Linked DNA regions of Struthio camelus. The protein of the gene in region 1 purifies or fractionates together with the protein of each later gene. This does not show direct contact. Links are inferred from orthologs where the notes say so. Each region holds a gene or a part of one and is shown in the gene's direction. Other genes may lie near its edges.

Evidence for each region. The genes of interacting proteins can lie anywhere in the genome.
Region 2: the proteins of NAA30 (region 1) and NAA38 purify together in Homo sapiens (co-immunoprecipitation; 3 studies listed by BioGRID and IntAct, with this or other methods). This does not show direct contact. The link is inferred for Struthio camelus from reciprocal best matches to the Homo sapiens genes NAA30 and NAA38.

Annotation. Positions count from the first base shown.
Region 1 is NC_090946.1:78,556,077-78,566,554, reverse strand, and holds the start of NAA30 (N-alpha-acetyltransferase 30), read left to right. Parts: upstream 1-6,414; 5' UTR 6,415-6,537; intron 6,538-6,636; exon of another isoform or gene 6,637-6,817; 5' UTR 6,818-6,820; coding exon 6,821-7,756; intron 7,757-10,478. UniProt on the Homo sapiens protein: Catalytic subunit of the N-terminal acetyltransferase C (NatC) complex. Catalyzes acetylation of the N-terminal methionine residues of peptides beginning with Met-Leu-Ala and Met-Leu-Gly.
Region 2 is NW_027182697.1:115,204-125,340, forward strand, and holds NAA38 (N-alpha-acetyltransferase 38, NatC auxiliary subunit), read left to right. Parts: upstream 1-5,777; 5' UTR 5,778-5,797; coding exon 5,798-5,860; intron 5,861-7,720; coding exon 7,721-7,889; intron 7,890-8,940; coding exon 8,941-9,053; 3' UTR 9,054-9,284; downstream 9,285-10,137. Other genes in the region: CYB5D1 (cytochrome b5 domain-containing protein 1), read right to left, coding at 596-837, 927-1,595, 1,890-2,010, 2,484-2,604, 2,871-3,107, 3,800-3,879.

The DNA of each region.
Region 1 (10,478 bases):
CAGGTGGTGCAGAATATACTGTTAGGACTCACTCGGAGAATATTTTCGAAAGCATTAAAAAAATTCCCTTAAGCTATTCTGAGCACTGCAGGCAACACTCTTCTGCCTCTGAAAGGAATCTAGAAACTTATATTTCCTCACTAAAAGGAAAATATCTCTGCATATCTCTGGCCCTGCATGAGTCAACTAAGCCTCAATACAGAATAGGCGGTATGAGTTGAATTCTTGCCTCAGGAAAGTCAGAGCTGAGTTGTTGTTCAGCGGCATCAGGATCTGATTCAGTGCGAATAGAGGAAAAATCAAGGCAAAGTTATGAGATCCCACTCTGCAATATACTTAAACCCACATCTAAGCATAAGGTCATGAATAGCCCCAAGTCACATTAACTGCTGGATGTACTGGTCTTCAGTGAATAAAAATGGGTTTATGCATGACAGTAATAAATTTTAAGGGTGATGTTTTAAGTTGCCTAATTCCCTGAAGCATTTTGGAGATTCTGCTTATTGCTATCTTAAATATCTACATCATGACGAAGAAAGAGAGAGAGAGAGTGACAAGATCAGGACTGCCGCAGCATGGTGCAGAGCATGCAGGAGTTTCACTTTTGGCCAGCTACTCTACCTCTCTGCTTCCCTGTTAAGAGGGAAATTTGACATCGTAGTGTCATCTAAGAGAGCTGAAGCATCAGTTTCCTATGCCCCTTTACACTTAAACATTTGTTTAATACTCAGTATAATGTAATCTTTAATATAATTAAGTTAGCAGTCACAAAATACTTTGCTACTTCTGTTCTCAGTGTCCTGCCAGTACAGTTAATAAAATGAGTGATATGCTGTTAGCTTCCCGTTTGACACACACGTTGTGAAGTAAAATCCACTTTTGGCAATAGAAGATTATTACATTGCTGTAATCTGGATAAGAAAAAGATAGGAAGATACCTGAAGAACCCACTCTAATCTATTCCTATCACAAGGCAGGACTAGCTATGTGGTTTTTAGCCTTAAAAGCTTTCAGTGATAAGCTTCTCCAAGGCCTTATTGCAATTTTTCAAAGCCCTCAACATTTAAAATATTTTTCAGCTATCTTACCAGAATTCTTTTGGTCAGCACTTCTTGTCCTGTCCACTAAGAACATGAAAAACCCGTGACCGTGTTCCGTGTTAGTCAAGTCTTTCTTAAGCTGAAGAACCCTAGTGTGCTCACTTTTCCATCGCAGGTCCTGTTTTCTAGCCCTCTGCTCGTTACTGTGCGCTACTCCGAACGCTTCGAAATTAGCGCCTGTGTTTCTTGCCGTGCAGTGCCCAAAGCTGGGCTCCAGCTGGTGCTTCCTGATGACCAAGTGGAGAAGGGTTCCTTTTCGTACTGTCTTTTTCCACAGAACTGCAAACCATGCACTTGTTCTCCAGCACGTCTCCGTGCAGTTGTTTGCTCTGTCCTAAGCATACCACCTTGCATTTGTCCCTATCGAATAGTGTCCTCCCCTTTTCAGACTGCATTTCCAATTTGTCAAGATCCTTTGGAATTCTGTCCCCATCCTCTGATATCTTTGCTGTCCATCCTTGCGTGGCTTTGTCTCCAAATATAACAAATATCCTTTGTTATATAAGTCTTACTGTCTTATAAGTCTTACTGATGTCAAGATTTACAATTTGTACTGTTTCTCCTCTGTCTCAGAGCCTGCTACCCTGTCATGGAAGGAAATGAGATTGGTTTGACATGACTTGGTCTTGACAAATCCATATTGACTGTCACTAATCTCCTTGTTTTTTTCTTAAATGCTTACAAATTGTTTGATTATTTGTTCCAGCGTTTTTCAGGAAATTGAAGATAAGCTGATGCGTCTATAATTCCCTAGCTCCTCCTTCTGTCCTCCCCCTCTTTAATAAGTTTCCATTACCTCTTTCATCCACCACAGTTTTTAAAGGTATTTATTCCCCTTAATATTTCTTACCATAGAGAGTCTATCAGCAAAAGAAAAACAGTAACCAGCAGAGGACGTTCTAAAAAGATTACTGTACTTTAATGACTTCAAAGACGCTAAATCATACTTTAAACAGTTTTAGGTAGATTATTACTCAGTTTTTCAAAGGACTCTAGTGTCGATCTGTTTCCATTCCTGCTGAAGGAAATAAGAAATTTCTCATTGGCTCCAATGGAAGCTCAGAGATTTTAAAAATTCATTTCCCTAACTCCAGAGTTGTTAAATGTATATTGATATGGTAAATGGTAAATAGGGTGCCTACTGTACAGATTTCAGCAAGTGCGCTTAAAAGGACATAAAGTCACATGATTTTTAAATATACTATAACTACATTTTCTTTTGTTAGACGGCTGTAAAACCAATCCGACTCAACTGGTCAAACTGAGTTTAAAACTATTGACTGGTGTTATTACAAGAAAGTATGCCTCAATTTCCTGCTGGTATGCTCCTTTCACACAATAAAGTGGGATGGGTCAGAGCATGTGGGTGAGTAGTTCACGCAAGAAGATCAACATATTGACTTGCTGAAGTTAAAATATCTCCTTGTGCAATACTGAGAGCACTAAACAATGATGGAACAAGCAGCCAGCCAGATGAGAAAGTCAGACATGCCTAATTCTTACAGTACTTTCTCTTCTTGCCAGGGATTGTTTTCAGTGGAGTTAGGCCTACACACACTAGCTGAGATCTTAGCTACCTGCTTTAACTTTACAGTGGTATACTGACTTTTCAAGTACATTGTGTCTGCAGCTTCTCTCCCCCCTTGCTTCTCCATCCTTTTTGATAAAGGGTTTGAAAGAGAAGAGCTGTCCCTGGCTATTTGCAATGAAGCACATCATTTCAAATCAATCAATCATTCCTCATTAGCTTCACAGACCAGATGCAAGGCACAGTGGAATCAATGCTCTGCTATGAAATCATCTCTAAAAAAAAATCTCCACTCCTATATACATTTTTGCTTGGTTTCTAAATACACATAAAGCCCCGGTGCAAAATAAAGGCACGGAGATTCCTTCTGTCCCTTCTGTGGTTTCTTCCAATACCAGAGAAGGCTCCTGTGTCCCCACAAGACTGGGAGAAGTGAGAGACCTCTGATAGCACAGGAGTCTCGGCAGAGTAGGAAAGACAGCAAAAACTCTTCCTGAAAGGCTCAAGAGCTCCTTATCAGAAGGAGCACTCTTGAATGCACCTACCAACCACGTCTCTTACTCCTCCTGCTGAGCTATGATTTTCTCCTCCTATAGAGAGTAGGCATGGGTAAGAGAGGCCAGCTTTAGTTATAAAGACTCAGATAGTTTCACCTGTAGTAGAAGTGTACGAGCAAGAAATGGAATAAATATTGTCATGGCTGACTCATCCTTCACAGATCTCTGTTTTCTTTTTTTCTCTTTTTGCATCTCCCAAATCTCTCTCATCATCATTTCACACTTGATTTCAATGTAGCTACAGAAGTGAAGATGACAATTGCACTGGTGTATTGATCTTGACACTACAAGTCCCTGTCTCCCATGGAGACAAATGTCATCTGCCCAGAGACTGCTGTCAGAAGAGATGCAGTGACTTCTGTATGTTCTTCTGCTAAAATAAACCGAGTTTATGGCACAGGGTCACTGTTGTGGGAATTTCAGAGACTGGAGTGCTGTCCAACACTACCCCCTTGTGATTTCTCTTGTTACAACACTCTTTCTAAACCACAGTTTTTCCAGATTGACCATTTTACACGAAGACTCTCCTTCTGAGCAGCACACATCCCACCACTTAAACAGACAGCTTGCTCAGCGTGAACCAAGCAACATTTGATATGTATACATACATTTTGTTTTTACTGAATTCCTCTTTTACTGTGCTTATAACCTTATATACTTCGATATGTATGATTCTCTATTTGCTGTTTCAGGAGCTCAGACAGACCTGGTATTTCCACCTACGCTGGCACATGTTGCACTTCCTGTCTAACTACAGAGTTAGGTGCAGAAATTCTAGATATCCTCATATTTCTTTATTATCATATTGTATCAATTTGAAGTGCAGAAGACGGAAGTCAAGCTACTTTAATTGAATGACAACATCTTTGCCCACACAGTTCATTGCCGGGCTGTGGAGAAGTCATAGCTCAGCTAGTGTGGCCAGTGCAATAGTGGGCAGGTATTAGCTCAGGTCCTTTCTTTGTTAAACATTGACCTGCTTCTCCTGTTTGTTTCCCCTGATTAAGTACAGCTCAATATTCTGTGTGCAATATCCTCATTTTTGGTGCAGCTGTGATGTTACCATCATTATGCCAGGGAACATGACATGTTTAGATGTCCGCTTTCCACAAGGGTTTCCTTGAGTTGAGATCTAACGCAGAGTAACTGCAAAGTTAATCCAGTGACCAGATAGTTCCCTTAGATATCTAAGAGAAAAAGGAGAAAGGCCATCAATAGCTCCCTTTCTTTTTGGAGATAACAGAACTATACAGGAACAGTTCCCCAAGTGTGTACTGTTTTCTTAATAAATGAATTAGCCATAGAAACCCCCAAGGTCACAGAGTTATTGAACAATGAACTAGAAAGACAATGAGACTTGTGTTCAAGCCCCGTCCTAGCTTCAGAGGAAGGAGTGGTTTGCAACAGCATGACGGTGCTCAGGGCTGCTGGAGGTTCAAAAAGCAGTGAGAGAAACCTGAGGAACAAAAATGCACCTAAAGCTATTACACAAAAAGCTATTACACACACTTCTGGTTCAGAAAGTCCATTTAAAAAGCAGCTGGCCTCTTTCTTGTCATCGTAATACAAACAACAGATAAGACAAATGAGAGGCAGAGTAGGCTTTGCAACTGAGAATATATCAACAGTAGCCCTAGGACACCTTTCACTTAACTTCAGAGAGTGACAGAAACGGTTTCCGTCTCAAATGAACTAGTTACGTTGAGGTCCCTTATTTAACGGGATGATGGCACGCACCTCCAAGACACAAGTCATCTGACCGGCTTTGGAAATCTAGTTTAGGATGAGCTGAATCCCTCCACAAAAGTGCCTTTTCCTCTCCAGGGACATTAAGGGGAATCAAAGGCGACTAGCTCAGACAGGGGTGCCTACAGTGTACATATCCACCTTTGGTCAGATGGGTCCTAGCTATGGACAATGAACTGCTAAGATCAACAACCAAACCAGGACCTTCTGAGCTTGGAAGCTGTTCAACAGGTATTGGAAGTGGAACAAAAAATGTTGCCAGTACTGTCAGAGAGCTCAAAAGAGAGGTTTTCCATAGTACCTGTGACCTCACTGAAGTAACATAGTATGTTTTTATGATAACAGCTATATCATTTTCACCCTATATGACAATTTGTGCTGGCTCTTGGTTGTCTTCCTAACATGGATACCACTGTAACACACAGGCTCAGGCACTTCCAATCACGCTACCGCAACACGGTAAACGAGAGCTGAATTTGGGCCATTACTACATTGACATTTGTTTGCTCTTTCTGTTTAAACTACCTGAGAACAGTGAACTTAACTGCACTGCCAGCGTGCCAGAGCAGCCCAGATGAGACCCATAAAAGCCCTTTGGTGCGTGAAAACCATTTTAATTCATTCACTTTCAATCAGATGTTTTCCTTTTCTCTCACTTCACTTCAGAACTTAACAATTCATAAGCGGAAGTCTGAAACTGGATCCAAGGTTTATTTTCACCCTAATTAAAGAACCTTGTTGGGACACGTAGAGAAGTTGCTAGGTTTTCCTTGTAAGTCCAGACCTGTCACTTCATAGAGAAGTAACTGTAGCAGAAGAAAATGAGTCTTGCACGCAACAGACCCACAGAGCTTCCTCGTGTGAAAAGGAGACAGTGCTGTTTCTTGGGCGCTTATTAACAAAGTCTCCGCAGTAAAAACACTACAAAGGATTTGCTTATTGCAGTGAGGTCTGCGGGCATATTCTTAAAACAGGCATTACTTAATTCCGAAACGCGGCAGAGACACCGCGCACTTGAGAGAGGACTTGTTCAAATTTCTGCGGATTTCCCAGGGCGACCAGCTGAGTGACTTCCTTACCCAGGCCCCAGGCCCTTCACGAGGACTCAACAGCGGCCCTGACGAACCTCCTTCCCCGCTTCTGCACATTTCTGAAGCAAGAGCTACAAATACCGCCCCCCTGCCCTGCTCCGACCCCCCGCCCCCGGCTCCGCGCTGCCCGCGGCCGTCGCTTTTACACCCTGGGGGCTGACGACGGTTAAAAAACAAAGCGCAAAGCGGCGTGCAGGCCGCGGCCGGGCCCGGGCCCGAGCCCGAGTAGGCCCCACCACGGGCCGGGAGCGCCTGGGGGCAGAGCTGCGGTGCCGGGGACTGAGGGAGCCGCAGCGGGTGCGCCCGGCCCGGCGCGAGTTAACGCAACGGCGCCGCCGCCACCACCACCGCCCAGGCCCTCGCCGCGCCCCGCCCCGCCGTCGCCGGGCCGCGCCGCCAAGGGAGGAAGTGTCGCAAGGGCTGACAGGAAACTTGGCGGCGGGTTTACGGCAGCGGCGCTTGGCGGCCGCTGGATGAGCGGAGAGTGGGAGCCGCGGCGCTGAGGAGAGGCGGGGGTGAGCGGCGGCGGCGGGCGGGGGCCGCGGCGGCGGGAGGCCGCCCGGGGCGGGCCGGCGACCGGAGGAGGGTCCCGGCGGCGGCAGCAGCGGGGCTGCAGGAAGAGGCGGCGGCGGGGCGGCGAGGCGGGGCCCGGGCCCTGTCTCTGCCTTTGTTCGCGCCCCCCTCCCCCCCCCCCCCGCCGCCGGCCCCGACCGCGGCCCGTCAGGCCGCCGCCGCCCTCCCCGTCTCGGCTGACGGCCGCCTCCTCGGCGGGTTTTGTGTCGGTCTCTCCCGTAGGATATGGCCGAGGTACCGCCGGGGCCTAGCAGCGTCCTCTCCCCGCAGGGGGACACGCTCTCCCCCTTCCCCGGAGGAGGAGGGGGGGCTGCTTCTTCCTCCTCCTCCTCCTCTTCCACCTCCTCCGCTGCCGCCGCCGCCTGCACCGGGGCCCAGGACGAGGAGGCCGAAGAGGAGGAGGAAGAGGAGGGACCCGCGGGCGGACGGGAGCAGCAGCAGCGAGGAGGAGGCGACGGCGGCAAGGGGGGGCAGCAGCAGCAGCAGCACCGCCTCCACCACCACCACCACCACCCCCCGCACCACAACCACCAGCTCAACGGCGTCATCAGCCCCGAGCTGCGGCACCTGCGGGCCTCCCTCAAGAGCAAGATCCTCAGCTCGGAGGCCGGGGCAGCTTCCGAGGGGCAGGAGAACAAGCGAGCCAGCAAAACAATGGGCTCTGGACAGCAGCAGCAGCAGCAGCAGCCGTCGCCCCCGGCCGCAGCACCGTGCTCGACCCCCCTTACTAACCACCTTGCTCCCCAGGGAAGGACTGCACCCTCTCCTCCTCCTCCTCCTTCTCCCCCAGCAGCAGCAACAGGGGACAGGAGCCAGCCTGCTGCCACAACTATGACTGCTGCTAAGAGTGCAGCCCGCAATGGACTCGCAGGAGGGACTGGCTTGGAGGAGGAAGAGCAGGAGGAGGGGGATGAAGGAGGGGAGGAGGAGGAGGAGGAGTCCCTGCTGCTACTCTCCAGGTCCTTAGCAGCAGCCTGCAGTTTGAAAGGCTCGGGAACGGACTCTCAGCCCGAGGAGGACCTAACGATACGATACGTCCGATATGAGTCAGAGTTGCAGATGCCCGATATCATGAGACTGATCACCAAAGATCTGTCTGAACCCTACTCCATTTATACATATAGGTATTTTATCCACAACTGGCCACAACTTTGCTTTTTGGTAAGTGCCCGGGGGTGGCAGGAATTGGGAGTGGTTTGGGGCTGGGGAGGAGAGGATTTAAAGGGTGACGTTTGTGGAAATACTTAGGCTATTCCTTTCATGGATAAGGGGGAAGGCCAAGGTTTTCTGGAAGTACCTTTCACTAATGAATTGCTCTCACCACCTGTGCCTGTATAAATAAAGCATGTGCCTAAAGATCCTACATTTATGAATAGATGTTTTGAGTGGTGGTGAAAGAGTTTGAACACAGGGCCAGTGTCCAGGAACTCAAGGGTTCTAATCTTGGTTTTGACATTGACTTTTGTGACCTTTGTCAGCTTATTTTTATTGTTCTGTCTCAGTTCCTAGGTTTATATATTTTTTTAAAAAGTATTTAGCCCATTAGTGTCTTATGAGTGCTTAGTAATTCTTGCACAATGGTTTTGAAACAGACTTCAACATGGCTAGTATATAAGTGTTAAGTGATACGTGGAGAAACAGTGTTAAATGTTTTGTAGATTCTTTTGATTTGCTAGCCTACTTAAAAAAGACAATTGCAACTGTATTGCTTCATACAGTTGTGAGAGTGTATGTAGCATACAGAAATTTTCATGCTGCCTCAACTATCTCGCAGTGCTAATGGCATGTTTAGTTTCATATTCTTCACACTGAGCTATTGAAAAGGATGATATAGCTTTTATGCTGTCTTTCTAAATATTTAGCAGCTCTTATGGAAGAGCGACTCCTGGGCAGTTTTAGAACTTGCACAGTTGAAAAGCATGCTGTTAAGATGCTAATCCATCCACAGGTATATGAAACTGAGTATAAGTTAGCCTGAGGGGGGTGTGTGCATAGGGGGACCTTAGCTGTGTTTGCTCTTTCTCGTATGAAAATTTCAGTCTCTAAAATGGAACATTTGTGAGAGTGTATGGCACGACGTTGCTAAGATGAATGATACGTTTTTCTCCCTCGATGTTTTAATCGAGGCTGGACACCTTTCTGAAAGATATGATTTAGCCAGAGCCAAGATACCCTTCAATTCAGGAGTATCTCTGTAAAATTGTAGTAGGATATGAGTACAGGAGGTCAGGCTAATGGAATCCATCTGGCCTTAAGCTTCCCGACTGTTCTTGTTTTAGGGTCTGGTATAATTTATAGCAGGATTTATATGATTTATAGGAGGATTTTCAGAACTATGCCTCTTAAAGCCCTAAAGAGGGAATACAGTAGGATTGTAGGAAGTTGAGCAAAACATTACCTTCGGAAACAAAACAAAATTATAAAATTATTTGAAAACACTGTCCAATGTAAATTCATGATTGCCATTATATTATTAATTATAAGCATGGTGATCGGAGCAGAATGGTATTTTTCAAGCACTGAGCCTATCCTAGCTATGTGTGCAGCTGATTAATCTCATACTGAAAAGAAGTGCTTGTGAGCTACAAATGTCCCTAGTTTCAGCATCAAGTGCATTGTTGGTAATGCCAAGGAAATGCTGGCTGCTACAAGATCACAGTGCATCTTTTTAGTCTTTAGATCTTGGGATTTTTTTGTTTTGTTTCCTTTTTTTGGTCAGAGAGTAACTTGAGAATTTTGTTGTTACGAAAAGGGCGATGACACATTGTTTGACAGAGCTCTAAAATATTTGATTTCTAATATTTATTTTTAAAACAAGTGCTTTCAAAGAGCATGTTTTCACTCAAGGAAAAGATCTCTTAAGCTTATTTTCTAGTGACGGATTCATTTTTTTAATAGCCTTGAATCAACAAAACTTAGCTTGAACTTTGCGAGTCTACTCAGATTTGCCATTTTTATGAAGTGCAGAACAATATGAAGCGCATAAAACTAGAGAAGGATATGTGGCTACAAATGTCTAAAGGAATTATCAAATTGTTTTATAAATGTAATAATCTGAGGCTCTTGCAATATGTTATTTTTTTGTGCCTGGTTTTAGCATTTTGAGGTTTGTTTTTAGAGGTTTTATTGAAGACTTTCTCTTCTGTGAAAATTAGTCTGTTCCTGCAGTTAATGGATTCCTGGACTACCTCTCTCTAATAAGTATCTTTAAAATATTTACCTTCAGTGAGGGACTGTGTGTTCCAATTAGCAGGAACAGTGTCAGGACAGTGAGAAGAAATACCGTAATTTTCCTCTCTAGCATCTTGGATACCTGACAATGCAGAACTCTTTCTTGGGGGCATTATTAACACTATTCCTGTGGGTGATGATCTAGGAGGTTTGAAACTTAAGGAGTTGTGGCTTGGCCTTCCCAAATTGTAGGGACACTCTAATGGCTAGTGCAACCAAAAAGGGCTACTTGCTCTTCCTTTTCTATCGCCTGTCTCTTCTTCCTTTGTGCCAACGTTTATATTTATCTGATTTGGGAAGCTAGGCTAGCTGCACCCTCCACCCCCAAAAAAGTAAAGTAATGGCCATGGACACACATGCATGCACATGTTTTTGTATGTGTGTTTGTCTGTGTATGTATATATATATATATATATATATATATATATATATATATATATATATATATGCGCGTGTGTGTGTGTTCTATGGTCAGCTTTCTCTTGATTTAGCTCTCCAAGCATATTCATAGTGGGAGCACACAAGTGCCAATGTTGGTGCAAAAGAAGAGGTGAGATCCTCCAGCATAGCTGGAGAGAAGGCACAGGACCAACCCTGCCTAGTCGCTAGCTTGGTTTTGCTCTATCAAACTACTTCCTAACTTGGTGCTTGA
Region 2 (10,137 bases), on another chromosome or scaffold:
CCCAACGCTACCAGTCCAGCCAAATCGAAGGGACGCCGCAAAAAAAATTCCCTCCGGTGGTGCCAGACCTGCCCTCCCGCCAGGTTGTTCTTCCCCCCTCTCTCCTCCCAAAAACAAGGATGAGAAAATAAAGTCTCTGTGCCCAACTCTTATCATAATCCTGGCGATAACGAGCACGCGCTGTGATTATTCCCTTCCCCCCGCCCCCCGCTGCTGGCAGATCTGCACTGCTGAGCCCTGGTCTTTCCCACGCCGGGGCCCATGCGGAGCTGGCGAGTGCGCCGCGCTGGCTCCCCTCCTCGCCTCCAGCTGCTAAATCATGCTGGAAGCTGCTAAAAATACCCGCCGCGAGGAGCTTTTCCACGTCAGCTGCTGCCGCGGGAGCCAGGGGATGCTCTTTGCTCCCGAGGGCCAGCGCAGTGGCAGGCGGGGGCCGCGCGCTCCCCGGACGCGCCTGGGGGCCGGGCGGCTTTTTTCAGCACGCGCCTCCCAACTCCGCACGGGAGTGGGGGATCCGGCCCCACCACCGGCTCTCCAGCGGCGTTTCCCGAACCCCGCCACGACGGCGATCCGCCGACTGTCACGCCAGCCGGCGTCACCCGCGCGGCGGCCGTCTCCGAGCGCCTCTCTCCGCTGGGAAGCCGCGGCCGAACGCCGGGGACGGCCTCGACCCGGGGCCCGAGGGAAACCGGCTCTGCTCGACCGATGATGAGTCAGGGCTGCTGCCGCGCCGGCGCGGGACCCCGCAACGACAGGGCTCGCGCCGCTCGCTCCGACCCCCAGCAGACGGATGAGCTCCGGCTCTTGCTGCTCCGGTCGGATTAACATCCGGCGATCCTACATTGCAGAGGAACGCGATCCCTTATTAGACACTGGTGAACCCGCACTGGCACAAGCCCCAAACGCTGCCCTTCAGGCTCCAGGACCTACAACCAGCTCCAAATATCTCCGCTGAAGGCTCCCGGGAGGAAAAAAGCCGAGTCGCGGGGTCCGGAGCCGTCGGCCGCTCGCCCCGACACCAGCGGGATTCGGGCAGGTTGCGGATGCCGTTCGCTTGAGCCAAGGCAAAAGGAGCTGGATTTGGAGCTGGGTGACGTCTCGTGTCCTCGCTGGTCCCTGCTCTGTAGCGGAGAGCACCCAAAGAGGGGAGGAACAGCCCCAAAACCACGCGCCGAGGGAATGGGAAAGGCTCCAAATCCTCGGGAGCGGGTTCGGGGACTGAACTGTGAGAAAAAGCCCATGGGAACGCGCCCCAACCTGCCTGCGCGCATCGGGGATAAAAAAATCCCAGCCGGGAAGGGGCAAAAGCACCCAAACCTCGTGGGGCACCCCGAAAACGGGGCCAGAGAAACCCCGAGGTGACAGCGGAGCCGCTTTCCCACCCCGCCGGGCACCGCCGCCGTCCGAACGTGCGTCCCAGGGCCGATCCCGCTGCCTCAGGATCCCCCCGGCTCCCGAAGGACCCTTTTCCTCCGTCTCTCTGGCTGTCACAGTGCCGCCGGTCACCAGACCCGACTTCCTGGGACGTAGATTCTCCAAGCGCCCGATATTGGGGCCGAGTTCGCCCTGCGGCTGCTCCCGGAGTCTCCATCCTCCTTGGTTTTGTGGAGCAAAACGCCGCATTTTGGCTCCCTTTTCCCCACACCGTCCTGTGGCATTGCTCCGAACCAGACAGAGGTTCGGGGTCAGAGAGATGCTCGGGGTGAGAGCAGGACGGGGGGGGGCCGTCCCCGAAAAACCAACGGGATACCAGAGTGCCGGGATACCAGAGACGGAGCCTCGTGCCACGCGGCACCCCTCAATTTGAGGGAAAACAGGCTGGATTTTGGGGTGGGGGCTGCGCACCAGCGTTCCAGGCCTGACCTCTAGTGGCTACAGAGACCAATTACCTGGGATCCGCTTGGAGATCCCCCTGCTCGCGCAGCGAGACCACCGGGAAGGGTCTCCCGCCGGCTCCGGCTCTTCCTCCCACGCCGGGAGCTGCCGAGCGGGGTTCGATCCCGAGGGTTTCTGGTGGGAGAAGTCGCAGGGGCGCTCGCGGCCGACCCCAGGCCACAGGGGGCCCCGATTCCCGCACGGAAAAGGGACGGTGCCAGTCGGCGGGAGGACGAGGAAGGCACGAGCGGGAGGCAACGCCGGGGACGCCCCAACTCCCCTTCAGAGCTGGCCACGCTCCGCCAGGCGCGGACCACGGAGCGCCACCGGGCTCCGATCTCCTCGTTAGCGAGTTAATCACTGCTTTCCCGCTGGCTGCTCGGAGCCGAGCGGCCCGAGGTTTCCTCCCGGGCCCAGGACGCGAGCGGATCCTCCCTGCCTGCCGGCCACCCGGATCCCAACGCGGCTCCCGATGGCTTTTTTCCATCCCGGCAGCGAGGACGGAAGCGCCGCGGCCCCGTTTCCTGCTGCGACCCCCAGACGAGGCTCAGCCGTGGCCTTTTCACACCAAAACCGGGTTTATTTCTCCGAAAGTTCCAGGGATGCGCCTTGTCTCGAAGGAGCCGCGCTGTCGGAGCCCCGCGGGGACCGAGGAGCCCGCCTGCGCCGGGATTCGCCCTCGGAGGAACAGATCCTCGCGCTCGGGAAGGGAATTTCGCTGCTGCCAGCCTGGAAAAGGAGGAGACGGCGGCGATGGGGCAGCGAACGCGGCTGGAGCCGCGGGGACGAGCCACGCCGCCCGGACGAGCTTTGCCGGAGGAAACGGATGGGTTTGGGACCGAAAAAAAAAAAAAATCAACTCAAAACAGCGCTTCAGGGCAGAGCTGCTTCGCTCTTAACCCCCTCCGAGAGCAGAGCCCCAGCGGGGACGGGGGTCCCACCTGCTTCGCCCCAAAACCGTTCCCCCCCCCCGAAACGGAGCCGGGCGCCCCCACCTGCGGCTAGAGCTCGGTGAAGTCGTCGTTGAAGTAGAGCAGCAGGGCGGGGAGGTGGCGCTCGGGGTCGAGGCCGAGGCGCCGCAGCTCGGGCCCCTCGTCGGCCACGCCGTTCTGCTCCAGCGTGCGCTCCATGTCGAGGGCGGCCCCGCCGTGGCGCCAGCTGTAGCTGCCGGCGTGGGCGTTGCGGGGCAGGTAGCGCCGCAGGATGTCGTGCAGCGTCTCCTCCGCGCACACCTGCGGCCGCCGCGGCTGCTCGGGCCCGCCTGACCGGACCCCCGAGCTCCCTAACGAGGCCTCCGGGCCTCCCCTGTCCTTGCAGGGCTCCCACACCACCTAACGACCTCTCCAAATCCTCCCATGCCGGCTAACGAGCCCCCAGATCCTCCCCCATAGCTGTGGGTCCCCCAACCTTGGCTAACGACCCCCCAGATCCTCCCATGGTGGCTAACGAGCCCCCAGATCCTCCCCCATAGCTGTGGGTCCCCCAACCATGGCTAACGACCCCCCAGATCCTCCCCCATAGCTGTGGGTCCCCCAACTTTGGCTAACGACCCCCCAGATCCTCCCATGGTGGCTAACGAGCCCCCAGATCCTCCCCCATAGCTGTGGGTCCCCCAACCATGGCTAACGACCCCCCAGATCCTCCCCCATAGCTGTGGGTCCCCCAACTTTGGCTAACGACCCCCCAGATCCTCCCATGGTGGCTAACGAGCCCCCAGATCCTCCCCCATAACTGTGGGTCCCCCAACCTTGGCTGACGATCCCCCAGCCCCCCCTCCTCCATTAACTAACCCCTCCCCAACGACCCTGGTGACAGTGGGGACGTCCCACGGTGGTGGGGGAATCCAGGGCCTCCCCATTGCGCTGCCCCCCCCCCGGGGGGGACGGTGACGAGCCCCGGGCCCCCCCCAAAGGGGCACGCTGACCTCGAGGACATCCTGCTGCCCCGTGAGGGTGTTGAGGACGCGCAGGCGGCGGGGGCGGGCGCCCAGGCGCCCCACCTCATACCGGGGGTCCCGCCACCACGGGGGGCGGGCGGGGGGCACCCAGTCCGAGCGGGGCGCCGGCGGCGGCACGTCCAGCAGGCCGCCCCCCGGCGCCCGGTAGCCCGGCAAGCCCGTGTGCGGGTCCACCCGCCTCAGCAGCTGCCGGTTGGGGGGGGGGGGGCTTCACCAGGAGCCCCCCACCCCCAGGGTGCCCCCCATCCAGCATGAAACCCTACACAGGGACCTCCCACACACCAGGACCCCTAATGGCACACTGGGACCCCCCCCCACCAACATGGGGACCCTCTGAGTGCTACCTAGAGAGCGCCAGGGCCCCACATCGGGAGCCCTAAAAATCACAGCAGGACCCCCCAGGGGTCATCCTAGGACCCCCCCAACACTAGGAGCCCTCACCCCACACTGGGATCCCCCAGGCGCTATTCAGGGACCCCCCCCACCCCATGCTAGCACACAAAGCCCCACACGACCCCCATGCCCCACACCTGGACACCTAAAATCACACCGGGACCCCCTAAGTGGCACTCAGAGACCTCCCCACACCTCGAGACCCCCCCCACCCTGCACTGGGGCCTCCTACCCCACACCAGCACCCCCCAGCTGCCACCCAGAACCCCCTACCCCACATCGACTCCCCCATCCCACACCAGGACCACCCCCGATGTCACCTGAGGGCCCCCCCCTCACACCGAGACCCCCCCCAGGTGCTACTCAGGACCCCCCACCTCACATCGGAACCCCCAGGTGTCACCCGAGGCCCCCCACCCCCACCCCACACCGGGACCCACTGGGTGACACCCCCCCCCCCCGGCAGGCACCCCAGCGGGGGTCTTTGGGGGCAGTTCCCCCCCCGACCACTACACACGTCCTGCGTCCGGGGGTCGAACCAGTGGCTGATGTCGGTCCCCGCCGCCTCGAGCAGGGGGCGCAGACGGGGGTCGCCTGGAGGAGGGAGGCGGAGAAGGGAAATGGGGCACGGAAGGACGCGACCCCCCCCCCCAACAAAATGGCGGCGTGCGGGGAAGGAGGGGGGGGGGCCCCCTCGGTAGCGGGGAAGGAGGGGTGGGGGGTCCCGGGACCGCCGTACCGTGGTGCTCCCGCGCCAGCGGCGTCAGGTCGAGCACGCGGCCCAGGCAGCTGACCCAGAGGTCACCGGGCCGCGCGTGCGCCGCCACCTCCCGCGCCGTGAAGTACCGGGGCCGCGGCGGCGCCATGGCCGAGGTCGGCCGCGCGCTGCCATGGCGACGCGGCGCGCAGCGCCCGCCGGGAAGCGCCGTTCCTATGGCGACGCGGCGCGCGGCGCCTGCCGGGAAGCCCCGTTCCTATGGCGACGCCGGCCGCTGCCCCGGCAACGCCATAGCGCGGCGTCCGACGGGAAGCGCCGTTCCTATGGCGACGCGGCGCGCGGCGCCTGCCGGGAAGCCCCGTTCCTATGGCGACGCCGGCCGCTGCCCCGGCAACGCCATAGCGCGGCGTCCGACGGGAAGCGCCGTTCCTATGGCGACGCGGCGCTCGCCCGGAAGCGCCGTTGCCCTAGCAACCCCGCCCCCCAGCTGGGAGTCGGCCCGGGCCCAGGGGGCGCTCGCCGCGCGCTGCCTGCCGGGAAAGCCCGCCGCGTCGTGCAAGGCATGTCGGGAAATGTAGTCCTTCTCCCTCCTCCCGCCCCGCCATGCTGCCGCGCGGGGCATGGCGGGATCGCGCCCCGCCCCGCCCGCCTTTGTTCCCCCCCCCACCTCCCGCCTCCTAAAACCGGCGAGCGCAAGGCATGCCGGGATGTGGAGCTCCCCGCCCCGCCTCCCGCGGCGCCGCAAGGGCTGCCGGGAGCTGTAGGCGCCGCCGCCGCGCGGGGGCTGCCGGGAAGGCGCGGCCCCGCCCCGCGCCCGCGGGATCTCGCCGCCGCTCTCGCGAGACTTCGGCGCCATGGCGGAGCCGCCGGAGCCGCGGGAGGAGAACGGCTGCGGCGGGCGGGGGCGGGGCCCGCCGGTGAGGGGGGCGGGGCCACGGCGAGGGGCGGGGCCTGGGGGAGGTGGGGGGGCCATAGCGAGGGGGGCGGGAGGGGCTGTTGGGGCACTGCATGGGGCTGTTGGGGGGCCCCGGGGGCTGTGGGGGGCCCCAGAGGCTGTAGGGGGGCCCTAGGGCCTTTGGAGGGACCCCAGGGGCTGTGGGGGGGGGCATAGGGCCTATAGGGGGGCTGGGGGAGGGCCCCAGGGGCTGTGGGGGGGGCCATGGAGCCTATAGAGGCCTATGGGGGGGCCCAAGGGCTGTGGGGGGGGGCATGGGGCCTAAGGGGCAGCTATGGGGGGGCCCAGGGGCTGTGGGGGGGGGCCATAGGACCTACGGGGAGCTGTGGGGGGGGCCTAGGAGCTGTGGGGGCATATGGGGGGGCCTAGGGGCTGTAAGGGGGGCCATGAGACCTATGGGGGGCTGTGGGTGGCTATGGGGGAGCCCCAAGAGCTGTGGGGGGGCCCAGGGGCTGTAGGGTGGTCCTAGGGGCTGTAGGGGGGCCCAGGGGCCTACAGGGTGGTTATGGGGGGGCCCTAGGGGCTGTGGGGGAGCCATAGGGCCTATAGGGGAGCCCCAGAGGCTGTGGGGGGGCGCCATGGGGCCAACTTGGGGCTATAAGGGGGCTCTAGGGGGTGTGGGGGAGCCATAGGGCCTATAGGGGGCTGTAGGGGGGGCATAGGGGCTATGAGGAGGCCCTAGGGGCTGTGGGGGGGCTTTTGAGGGGCTCTAGGGGCTATGGGGGACCCTATGAGCTATGGGGGGGCCCTAGGGGCTGTGTGGGGGGGCTATTGGGGCTGGGAGGGGCTAAGGGGGGGGTCTAGGGGTTATTGGGGGCAGTCCAGGGGCAATGGAGAGACCCTAGGGGCTGTGGGGGGGCTCTTCAGGGGCCCTAGGGCTTATGGGGGGGGTCCTAGGGGCTGTGGAGAGCTATAATGGGGGTTCTAGGGGCTGTGGGGGGACTATAGGGGGACCTAGAGGCTATGGGGGGGCTCTGGGTATTATAGGGGAGCTATTGGGGGCCTAGGGGCTATGGGGGAGGCCCTAGGGGCTGTGGAGGGGGGTTCTTGAGGGGCCCTAGGGGCAGTGGAGGGGCTATGGGGGGGTCCTTGGGAGGTGGGGGGACAATTGGGGGGCCCTGGGGGCTGTGGGGGGGTCTTGGGGGACGGTAGGGGCTGTGGAGAGGCCCTAGGGGCAGTGGAGGGGCTATGGGGGGTCCCTGGGAGGTGGGGGGGCTATAAGGGGTGCGCTAGGGGCTGTGGGGGGGTCTTGGGGGACGGTAGGGGCTGTGGAGAGGCCCTAGGGGCAGTGGAGGGGCTATGGGGGGTCCCTGGGAGGTGGGGGGGCTATAAGGGGTGCGCTAGGGGCTGTGGGGGGGTCTTGGGGGGCCGTAGGGGCTGTGGGGAGGCCCTAGGGGCAGTGGAGGGGCTATGGAGGGTCCCTGGGAGGTGGGGGGGCTATAAGGGGTGCCCTAGGGGCTGTGGAGGGGGTCTTGGGGGGCCGTAGGGGCTGTGGGGAGGCCCTAGGGGCAGTGGAGGGGCTATGGCGGGGTCCCTGGGAGGTGGGGGGGCTATTGGGGGCCCTGGGGGCTGTGGGAGGGGTCTTGGGGGGCCGTAGGGGCTGTGGGGAGGCCCTAGGGGCAGTAGAGGGGCTATGGGGGGTCCCTGGGAGGTGGGGGGGCTATAAGGGGTGCCCTAGGGGCTGTGGGAGGGGTCTTGGGGGAATTTGGGGGGGTGGGCTATAGCTGGACCCACCGGGAGGGGCTCCGGGGGCCCTGCGGGGGTGGTGCTGCCCCCTCCCCGGCCCCCCCCCCCCCCCGCGCAGGGCTGACGGGGGTCGCAGGAGCCCGGCGGGGGGCACCCGCGGGCCCGGCGGCGCCTGGAGGCGCTGCTGAACCGCAGCATGCGGATCCGCATGTCGGACGGGCGCACGCTGGTGGGCGCCTTCCTCTGCACCGACCGCGACGCCAACGTCATCCTCGGCTCCGCCCAGGAGTTCCTCAAGGCCGCCGGTGAGCCGGACGCCGGGGCCCCTGCCCGGGCCGGGGGGGGGCAAGGTGGGGGGCGGCCCGGACACCGGGGGGCAGGTGGGTGTCAGGCTTGGCCCCCCACCGGCGGCTGTAAGGGGGGACCCGGACACCTGGGTCCCTTCTCCCAGGGGGTGGCCCGGACACCAGGGTCCCCTCCTAAGGGGGGGTGGCCCGGACACCTGGGTCCCTTCTCCCGGGGGTGGCCCGGACACCTGGGTCCCCTCCCTTGGGGGGGTGGCCCGGACGCCTGGGTCCCTTCTCCCAGGGGGTGGCCCGGACGCCAGGGTCCCCTCCTGGGGGGGGTGGCCCGGACGCCTGGGTCCCTTCTCCCAGGGGGTGGCCCGGACACCTGGGTCCCTTCTCCCAGGGGTTGGCCCGGACGCCAGGGTCCCCTCCTAGGGGGGGTGGCCCGGATGCCAGGGTCCCTTCTCCCAGGGGGTGGCCCGGACACCCGGGTCCCCTCCTAGGGGGGGTGGCCCGGACGCCTGGGTCCCTTCTCCCAGGGGGTGGCCCGGATGTCAGGGTCCCCTCCTAGGGGGGGTGGCCCGGACGCCTGGGTCCCTTCTCCCAGGGGGTGGCCCGGACGCCAGGGTCCCCTCCTAGGGGAGGGTGGCCCGGATGCCAGGGTCCCTTCTCCCAGGGGGTGGCCCGGACGCCAGGGTCCCCTCCTAGGGGGGGTGGCCCGGACGCCAGGGTCCCTTCTCCCAGGGGGTGGCCCGGACGCCAGGGTCCCCTCCTAGGGGGGGTGGCCCGGATGCCAGGGTCCCTTCTCCCAGGGGGTGGCCCGGACGCCAGGGTCCCCTCCTAGGGGGGGTGGCCTGGACACCTGGGTCCCTTCTCCCAGGGGGTGGCCCGGACGCCAGGGTCCCCTCCCTTGGGGGGGGTGGCCCGGACGCCTGGGTCCCTTCTCCCAGGGGGTGGCCCGGACACCTGGGTCCCTTCTCCCAGGGGGTGGCCCGGACGCCTGGGTCCCCTCCCTTGGGGGGGGTGGCCCGGACGCCTGGGCCCCGCTGAGGCGTCCCTGTGCCCGCAGACTCCTTCCCCGGCAGCGAGCCGCGGGTGCTGGGCCTGGCCATGGTGCCCGGCCACCACATCGTCTCCATCGAGGTGGAGCGGGACAGCGCCACGGCCCCCCTCTACCCGTGACGCCCGCCGCACGCGTGACGCCCCCTCCCCCCGGCTCCTGGGACCGGATCGGTGACGGCCCCCTCGCACCTGCGACGTCCCCGGCACGCGTGACAACCCCCCCCGACCCACGGCAGCCTCCGCACGCGTGACAGCCCCTCCCCGTCACGCGTGACACCCCGTGAGCGCCATGGGAGGGGGCCGGGGGGGGCCCAGGCTGCCTGTGCCCCATTAAAGCCTCCCTGGAGCCCACCCACATCGTGTCGTCACCACGCGACGGGGGGGTTGGGGTGCCCCCCCCCCAAACCGGTGTCCCTGGGTCCCCTTGGAGCAGGCGGGGGGGGAGGGGGCGAGGGTGGTGGCAGCTGCAGCCCCCAACCGGCCCCCCCCCCAATTCTCTGACCCCCCCCAAAACCCCAGGGTGGCCCCCCCAACTGGGACCCTCCCCCGCACCCCCTCTAGGCCCCCCACTGCCCCCTCCAAAGGACCATCCCCCTGGACCCCCCCCAAACTGGGACCCTCCCTAACCTGGACCCCCCCAAACCAAGGTCCCCCCAATCCAGATCCCCCCCAGCCTCCCCAAACTGGACCCCCCCCAAAACCAGAGCCCCCTCCCCCAAACTGGGACCCCCCCCAACTGAACCACCCCCCAAACCAGCCTCCCCCAATCCAAATCCCCCTGGGACCCCCCCCCAAACTGGGATCCCCAACCACCCCCCCAACCCCCTCCAAACCAGGACCCCCTCCAAACCAGGACCCCCCCCCAGATCCCCCTGGGACCCCCCCAATCCCTCTCCCCCCCCCCGCAGGACGGAGCCGGCCGGGCTGTGCGAGTTAATTAATCTCACGTACAAAATAGCTTCTGTGGCCGCGGGGGGGGGGGAGCCCCGGCCCCCCCCAACCCACCAAAAAACACCGGGGCCGGGGCCGGGGGGGGGGCTGGGTGTGTGTGGGGGGGGGCCTGGGGTGGCCGCAGGGCCCAGCACCATGGTGGCACATGGGGGACACCCGGCCACCAGGACCTCCCCCCCCCCCCCGCCCCATGTCACAGCATCACCCGCACGCGGGGGTCACGGGCCGGCAGGACCCCCCCCACACACAATGG